2 linked regions of the Rattus norvegicus genome follow. The protein of the gene in region 2 interacts with the protein of the main gene of each other region in a pairwise test. Links are inferred from orthologs where the notes say so. Each region holds a gene or a part of one and is shown on either strand. Other genes may lie near its edges.

What was found. The genes of interacting proteins can lie anywhere in the genome.
Region 1: the proteins of Top1 (region 2) and Btbd1 interact in a two-hybrid assay, tested with the Homo sapiens proteins (2 studies listed by BioGRID). The link is inferred for Rattus norvegicus from reciprocal best matches to the Homo sapiens genes TOP1 and BTBD1.

What each region holds. Positions count from the first base shown.
Region 1 is NC_086019.1:145,152,838-145,157,512, forward strand, and holds part of Btbd1 (BTB/POZ domain-containing protein 1), read right to left. Parts: intron 1,999-4,675; coding exon 1,806-1,998; intron 1,362-1,805; exon of another isoform or gene 1,255-1,361; intron 1-1,254.
Region 2 is NC_086021.1:169,792,910-169,797,684, reverse strand, and holds the end of Top1 (DNA topoisomerase 1), read right to left. Parts: intron 3,678-4,775; exon of another isoform or gene 2,671-3,677; coding exon 2,568-2,670; 3' UTR 1,355-2,567; downstream 1-1,354. UniProt on the Homo sapiens protein: Releases the supercoiling and torsional tension of DNA introduced during the DNA replication and transcription by transiently cleaving and rejoining one strand of the DNA duplex.

The DNA.
Region 1 (4,675 bases), on a different chromosome or scaffold from region 2:
TTGTCATTGGTAATGTGTGTAAATTCACACACACAACTTTCTAACCATACGTGTGTTTGTTCTATGTGAAGATACAGATGCCCCTCTCTACCTTAGACTTAAATCCTACCAACAACTCATCCTACAAAAAAAAAAAGATCACTTGGAGTTCGGTGACTTGGCCAAGGCTGCCTTACAATAGCTGTTTCACCTGGGCCCATCAGATCCAGCCCAGAGCAGTTTCTTGCCCCTCCCTTATCTTTTCTGCTTTTGTAGGAAAATCTGACATAGGAAGGCAGAGCTTCAAGAATTTCAGCTTGCCTGGGAACATGCAACTAAAATTTCTGGCAGAAAATGTCTAAAAAGCTGAGTAATGAGTTCCAAATAGCTTTCAGCCAGTAGATAAATAAGTTCAGATATGGAAAAATGAATACAAAGGACTGACTGAACTTTTATCAAATATTGAAATGTAAGTCATAAACATGTGCATTCTTTGTAGCTAGCACACGAGTGTATAGAGAGACTGTGTACTTCCGTTCGCCTGCTAGTGTATCACTTAAAGTCTAGACACCAAAGTACTAATTTTACTATCAGCTTCAATATTTCTCTTTAAATTTTTATTATCAACTGTTTTTATTTCTCCTTTGTATTACAAATATGCCATTTATCCCCTAAACTGTTGACACTATGAATTTCAAGTCAGTAAAGGGGGTACAAAATATTTACTACAGAAAAACTGAGTTTTCAAGAGCTATATATTAATGTACATCCAGAACTAGTGGGAAAGGCCTCTTCCTTTCTGATTATATAGGGCTCTAATTTATGACTGCAGTAATCACCAGCAAAACTCAGTAAAACTGGTAATATTTCTAGTTGGATTTTTAATTTCTCTTCAATAGTCTGCCATGGTTAGACAAATGCTAACAATTTAATCTATCAATATTATCACCAGTACAAAGGTAGAGTTTTATCAAAGGTACCGCCGGCCCACCAAGTCTCACTGCCTAGTGGAACCACTGTTTCCTGTGGTCTCCTACTGGGGTGAGCTCTATCACAGACCGACTTCTTGATTCTCCAAACACATACTATTTGTTCTCTCTGTTCCATTAAGGCAGAGTGGGTATGCGGAACTTCCTCCACATGGGAGGCTCGGCTAGAATGTGTCCTGTTCCACTCTTATCTGAACTTTGCTTCCGTCAGTAATTAACCACATGGCATTCTCCTCCTTCAGTGCTCAAGGAAACGCTGTTCCTCGAATGGTGGATAAAAACTCACCTGTAAAAACTTTGTGAATGGACAGTTCTTTGATAACTTAATTCTTCCCAGGGTAATTGGTCTACTCAGGCTTTCTTCTTCGGTCAATTTTGATAATTTATATTTGCCTATAAAATGATCCATTCCATCAAGATGTTCAATTTATTAGCATAGAGTAAACCCAGAACGAAAGTAAAAATTTCAGCATACGATAGTCGCATTTTGATTTCTAAATATGAATTTAAAGAACTGCTTCTAGGATGGCTTGCTTTGTTAGTCTTTTAAGGAAAACAGTTGTGAATTGATCGGTTTTCCTACTTTTAATGCACGACTTTCTTCACTCGCCTATTTATCTTCTCTTGGGCTCTGTGTTCACTTCTTCTCACTTGGATCGGCTGTCCTACTCTTATTTACTACAAACCGTTATTTCTCCTTTGTGTGCAGCTTTGGCCTCATCCTGTATTAAGCAAACTATAAAATACGTGTTAACTACCTCTCAAAAGGATAAAGACCAACCACTAACTGTCCCCTCTATCCCACGCCACCACACCCACACTCCAACAGACAGATACCTGATCCGATCGCTCGTCCCACTGTAACCCCAGCGGCTCTCTACTTGCTGGAACCTATTGATACAGCATTCCTTTCCTCTGAGGCAGCATCGCGGCCGGTCAATGTACTCGACTCGGGGTTTAGGATTGACGGTAAAATGAAGAAAGAGGTTTACCACTTCACGATCTGACAGAATTCCAGATTGAGCAGGACCTGGAAAAATAGAAAATAAACTTAGCATTTAAAATTTTAGCATACATTTGAAGTTTTGGCCAATCCCTTTGAGGCTAACCTGAAAGAATGTGTTAAGATAAGTGAAGGCTTAGATGGAATGCTACCATAACAAAAAGGATCTTTCTGTCCACTACCCTGAGGACCACAGACTTCTGTTCACCAAAAGAATCAATCTCTCTGTTGGTAAATCAACTAACTCCAAGGTCAGACAGGTGCCTGTGGCCTTCCATTTCCCAGTCAATACTTGTCGGAGACTATAATCTGAACAAGGGACATTGCAGCCCAGAATGACAGGGAAGAATGCTTTGTTACTGGGGTTTAGAAGTGAGCAGAAGGTGAGAACTATGGTTGGGAAAGCTGTGCAAACAGACAACCACATACAGTACAATTTCCCAGTTCACTGTGTCTTATTAGAGTACTTCACAGAATTAATGCTGCTCCCCCACAAAGAGGGCAGGAGATCCATTGCAAAGCAAGTAGAAGCAGAAGAGACTTCAAAATACTACAGTTTTGGATTAGGAAGCCTACTGATTTTAAAACAATTTTTTTTAAACTTTCAGTCTGAGAGCCAGGTGCGGTGGCACATGCCTGTAATCCAGGAACTTCGTGTGTAGAGGCAGCTGAATTTCTGTAAGCTCGGGATCAGCACAGTCCACATAGCAATTTCCTCATCACAGAGGTTACACAGTGGGACCCTGACTCAAGTAATTTTTTTTTTTTTTTTTGGTTCTTTTTTTCGGAGCTGGGGACCGAACCCAGGGCTTTGCGCTTCCTAGGCAAGCTCTCTACCACTGAGCTAAATCCCCAACCCTCAAGTAAGTTTTAAAAAAGAAATCACATACAAAGTGACAAAATCTATTGCTCAGCACACATGATGCAAGCTTTATTACTTGTAATCTGTGGATAAGGAAAGAGTATAAAGCAAACAAACAGAGGGCAGAGAGGGAAAGAGGGAGAGAAGGAAGGTCATGAGAAACAGAACAGTACCTATGAATGATGAAATAAAGGAGGAAGATGAGTTTCCTCCAGAGGAATTAACATTTTAAGGATAAGGGCTGAGGAGACTCCTTATTTTGCAAAGTTGAATCCCCAGCACCCATATAAAAAGCCATGCACAGTCCAAGTAAGAGGCTCTTCCAAAAACCTGTCAATACCCAATGTGGACAGTTCCTAAGGAACAACACCATGACTGACCTCTGGCTTCTACATACTATGCAGTGCATCGCACCACACACACTTCTTAAGGTTTAAAATGCATGATAATTCAAAAGCCTGTTGCAAGAGGATTTTCCTTCATTGAAAAAAAAAAGGAAGTTTTCACTGGGCATCGGTGGTGCCACATTTTTGATCCCAGCTCTCAGGAGGCAGAGGCAGGCAGATCTCTGAGTCTGAGGCCAGCCTGGTCTACACTGGTTGAGTTCCAGGACAGCCAGGGCTTCAGAGAGAGAAACCCTGTCTCGGGGGAAAAAAAGAAATCCAAACAAAACAAAACAGAAAAACCAAAACCAAAACCAAAAAAGAAAGTCTTCATGTAATGAAAAACATGTAACCGCTTCAAGAAGGTAAAGTAGCGTTCACTAAGATAGAGAGAGAGGTAAATCACTAAGAGAGAGAGCGGTAAATCACTGAGAGAGGTAAATCACTAAGATAGAGAGAGAGGTACATCAAAGAACTCAGATACACCGAATAGACCATCAACAACCCCCTAGAAAGCAAACCTAACACAAGTACCAGAGGAAAGGTGTGCATCCTTCTAAACATGAGCCTGGCTGGTGGGAACAACTGCAGCAAAGGAAACAGGGCTGCATCTAAATAGTAAATGAGAAGCTGCCAAGCTCAAGCTCTAGAACCAGAAACATAGCCTTGAAAAGTGAAAGCAGGAGGAGAAGCTTACAGAGGAACAGAGGGGAAGAGGAGTTTTGAGGGACTCTGATGGCCTAATACCTACTGTGGAAAATACTAATTGTTTAGCTTGACAGAAATGATCCTAGACAGAGCACAGCAGTCATCAGAAAGGATGAATTTACAGGTAATCTAAATGATTAATGGTTTTTAAGATGACAACATCTTATAGGCTTTAAAATATATGAAGGAACAAAATACATGAAATGCACCAAACACTGAAGATAATACAGAAAAGTCTTTTGTACTGCATAGGACAGTTTAATTTGAAATTTTTATTTTTTAAGATTTAATTTTAAAATATCATAAGGATTTGTATATTAAGTAACATACCAAAAGAATAGTAAAAAATACTCAATTTCTCATTAAAATTACTAATTTTCTTTTGCTTTGCTAAAAATTACTAAAAATTTGCTAAAAATTACTTTGCTAAAATTACTATTTTATTTTGCTAACAAAATAATAAAAGAATGTTTAATAAGTAAGTAAGAGAACAAAATACCAGAAAAGAGAATAAACAAACAAACAAACAAAAATCCATCACAAAACCACACGGAGTCAACATAGGAACATGAAGCAAGATGGCAAGTCGTGCGTACAGGGCTCTTCCATGTCCTCAGATGTACCACGCCAATGGTGGTGTTCTCAGAACTGCTAGCTTAAAAGACGACAGTTTACAAAGACATGACTGGCATGCAAAGATAGTGAAAATCTAATTAAAATGGGGAAAATAAAGAATACAGCTCTGGAAAGA
Region 2 (4,775 bases):
TGTCTATTTCTTAATCTGTCTGTTGTTAGGTCTCAGCTTTTGGAAGGGACAATGCACTTGCTGCACAGATAGCAAAACCATGCGGGGATTTGCAGCTTGGGTGCCACATAGAAGCACCCCCATTTGCCCAGAGAGAGGGATTTCTCAGATGCTGTCCTCCTGGCTTCTGCTCTTGAATATGGGCTGGAATTGAGTGTGCTCCAAGCGCAAGCATCTTTTAGAACTTTGTATACTTCTACCCACTCATCAGCTCCCTCGTAACCCGCTGCTGCCCCAATCTCTTCTCGGTCCCAGTCAGGATCAGCTGAGCGCCCTGCTCTGCCACAGCTCTCCTTAGAGGCCTGCCCCCACTGCCTGGAGTGTGTGCTATTTGCTGTGTTATCTTGGGCAGCACATACTTGCTCTTCACGCAGGCGGAGCTTACCAGAGGCGGGCACTGCTTCCTGCTTTATATCTGCCCAGTGTTGGTAACCTAGTTACTATCAGCTCCCAAAACTAAGGTGCACTTCTTACCAGACCTCATGTTTTAACATTCTTTCTGGCTAGCTCAACACTACAGAATTCATAATAATGTTCTTGGTTCCAAACAGTGATGGTTATACTGTCTTTATTCCCAGGAAGGAGGAAGTGTTGCCTGTCTTCACAGGCCAGTGAAGTTCAAGCTTCAAGGAAGCAAGCGTTTCCTGCCGTGGTCCCAGCACCTGAGACCATTAAGGAAGGTGGTTCTGAATAGAACGCGTATGCCAGCAAGCTCAGGTCTAGACCCTTCAGTCCGTGACCCATTTGGACCTTCCTTTTAGCCAGGAGCTCACCTTTTCATCTTGAATTTCAGACTTAGGATAACAGAAGGAACATTGGTAGGGATTATGGCTACTTTGGGGTACCCAGAGCTCTGGGTTGGCTACAGTTAACAGTTAACTCCTTCGACCAATCAATAGTCTTCCTTCCATCTGAGAGGCTTCTGAGATCTGGTACTCAGTACAGACTGGAGGCTTCACCACATAAGAAAGCTATCCTGTTTCTGTTCAGTACATGTGGAAAGCTCTCCACAATTGTTTCCCAAATAAACAGGCCGTCTTGTGCAAGCGCTACTGCCCACACTGGGCTTAGGCAGCTCTCGGAGGATAACTGTACATTTCCTGGCTTTCTGGGCCTATCTTTAGGGATGGAGCCTCTGCTACTCTTGATTCCACATCAGGACAGACGTACTTCCAGGTCAAGCCCCATACCATCTTCCCACTGGGAGGGACCAACCCTTGCTGACCTGAATGAACAGACCGTGCACTGCACTAAATCTCAGCCCCCGGCCTTTACTGTGGCCTGGGGCCTCATTCACAAAGAGGCAGACGCTATGTTTCCGTTAAGTTGTAGGAGTTTATTTTAAATAACCTACAGTTGATTAAAAGGGAATTCATGATAAAAATAGAAGATACTTGAGGAAAGATGTGGGAATGGACTCTGCACACACACTAAACTAACAATGCCTCTAAAACTAATGATTATAGCAAAAAAAAAGTCTTCACATTAAAATTTTCCTTTTTATGGTTTTTTCCATTTTTTACACAATTACAAAAGAAAAAAAAATAAAAGCCCTAAAATCTTGATTATTTTTTCCTTTTTGTTTTGTTTTTGTTTTTGTTTTCCTTGGACCAAATGCTCATTTTCCTCTAAATTTATTGACCTGTGGAAGTTTTTATACAATAAAATCTTTCAAATGAAAGACTGGGGTTTCCAAAGAAAAAGATGGATTTCTTAAAGGGTACAAAGAATGGTCAGAACAAAGGATGATGGGAAAATGGTTTCAGTCACTGATTATTTCATTATCCTTAGACTCACTCGCCCTTCATCCCTCCCCAACCCCAAGCTACACGATCTTTAAGATCAAGAAGAAGGCTTAAATATTTTAAAATAATTAAAACGAAATAAAAATTCACATTTAAAAAGGAACACTCAAGTCAGGAAATATTTTCCCATCATGCTTTTCTGTGAATAGGTGTCTGAACCAAAACACTGCCGATGATGCCACAACTGCTTCAAGTTTAATGAAAACTGATTCCCATGACGGTGGATGACAGCTGTAATAGGTGCGCTGGGTTTTTGTTTTGTTCTACTTAATTTTAAATTCCTGAAATTGGGGAGAGGAGGGATTTTAGGAATTCGTTTCTATTAAAATATAGAAGTTATTGCAAAACCCTAACTGTAAAAACGCACCAATATAATCAGACTTCGCATACAGTAGCTGAGAGAATCCAAACATTGCAGCAAAACTGAATTTGCCTGGCAGGATGCCAACAAATTCCCATCCACTTGCTCTCTTGAAAATAAAAACAAAATTCAAAACAAATCATACAGCTAGAATTTTGACATCTGAAATATTTTTAAATAAGTTGTCCATAGGACAACTGGCTCAGCTCTCCCTTATAATATCTCCAGGTCTATCTTTTTGCAAAGATGTTGGTTTGTTAAGACTTGTGGCCTCTCCCTCCGGTGTGAGGGCAAGTGAGGCTCAGTTTATCCATCTTCCCCAAACCACACTGTTCCTTTCACAGAACCCCTGCCGAGACTGGTCAAAACTCGTAGTCCTCATCAGTCATATCAATGGCCCAAGCAAACTTCTCTCTCTGGGTTTTGTTGTAAATCTTCTCGATTGGGACCCCCCATTTTTTGCACCTGCAAAAAAAAAATAAACAAATAAATATGGATACAACAAAGGAGATGAGTCTATCTCAATGACAACCCACAGCAGGGGTCGAGTTTTCTGGTGCGCCAAAATATTCAAAGGACTTTAGTATTTTATCATCTCATTTTTTTAATCAACAGAGATATCTAAAGTAGGTGTTACTTTGATATACAAACAGAAAAGGTAGAATTTGGTTAGGGATTTAGCTCAGTGGTAGAGCACTTGCCTAGGAAGCGCAAGGCCCCGGGTTCGGTCCCCAGCTCCGAAAAAAAAAAAAAAAAAAAAAGAACCAAAAAAAAAAAAGAAAAGGTAGAATTTGAACAACCACCCTGCAGAGATGGTAAAAAGCAGTGTCCTCATGCCACTAGAAAGTGCAGCTGCAATTTCACACTACGCAGTTGTCTGAAGCCCACGTTGTTGCCTGCCTCCACACTGCTTCTCAACAGTTAGTCCAGGGAATGGTGAGATGCCTCTGTGGGTAGCCTGCTGTTGTTCAACTGGACACAGCTACAGTTATCACAGAAAGAGAATCTCAATCTAGAAAATGCCTCTATCAGATTGCCTGTGGTAGGTCAGTAGAGCATTTTGACTACCTGATGTGAGAAGTTCCAACCCAGCAAGCTCGTGAGCAGTAAGTATTCCTTTGTGCTGGTCAGTTTCGTGTCCTGCCTCCATGTCCCATCTTAAATGCCTACCCTGACTTGCCTCAGTGATGGAGTGTGACCAGAGTTGTAAGCTGAAACAAACACCCAAATTGCTTTTGGGTCATGGTATTTTATCACACCAATAGAAACCCTAACCAGAACAGCAAGCTTTGACACCAAGCTTGAAGACCAAAATATGATCCTCAGGACCCACATGATGGAAGGAGAGAATCTACCAACTGTTGCCAAACTATCAGCAGAGCTCCTGGTGTCAGCACACACACACACACACACACACACACACACACACACACACACACACACACACACACACACACACACACACACACACACACACGAAAAAAGAAAGTTAACCCTTAGCAACACAAGCACAAAGCTAGGTCTCTGGTCTAGAATTCAACGACTCAAGCTAATGAAACATCTTCAGAAATGATTGACTTGTTTGGATGCTTTTTTGTGGAGCCAGGGGAAGCAAGCCTGGAGCGAGAGCAGGGTCAAGGTGTGTCCAAACCCTGGACGTCGCATCCCGAGATTGGGAAGATTCGATCACTCCTCTCCCCTTCCCCTGGCCTGCATGCTTATGTTCATATAGACTTTGCCTCACCAGAGGTGGTTATGGAGCTGGTAGCCAGATTAAACCTGGATTTCTTCCTCATGCAATGACGCATCCCTATCACCCTGGGCCAGGCCAATGATGTACACTCTCCTCGATAGATAGTCCCTACTCACCCACCAAAGGTTTAAATAACCTTTATTCTCCCCAATAAACCGAACCAGTTCTCTAGGTATGTAAGCTTCTATTCCTTGCGTCCAGCCTGATGATAGGACTAGCTACATGGAGAGGGAGAAGTGGAAATGGGGCAGCACTGTGCATATATGAAAGAGTAAGGGAGGGAGGGAGCTCTGTATTGCTCACCACACCACACCTCTGTAAGCCCTTGATGCTGCAGGGATGGGTTGTCCTCTCTCCTCTCCAAATCCCCTTCCTGACCTAGAATGCTGCAAGGGCCTCCTCTCCACCTCTGCACTTGCCCCAGGACATTGGGAGGTGGGCCATCCCCTCTCTAATGCTGCGTGCCTGCATCAGGTCGAGGCCCTATCCTGGGGGAAATGGGTGCCTTTGTAGAATGGTCTCTCTACCTCTGTGTAGTTACATGGATCTATGGTCTTAATTCTTTGCTGCGCCTTGTGTTTTTTAGGAACTTGTTCTTGTCTTATTTATTCTTGAAACAGTCTTTTTATTTAAACAAGGCTGGCTTCAAACTTGCGTTGATCATCTTGCTTCTGCCTCCTAAGTGCTGGGCTATCGGCATACACTACCAAGTCCAGTTACCTTGTGATTAGAAGGAGGATACCAAATGTACTACTCCTCTGGCTTCTGTAGGTATGGGCTCCTAGACTAACGTGCCCGTGGGCATGTAGGAGATTCC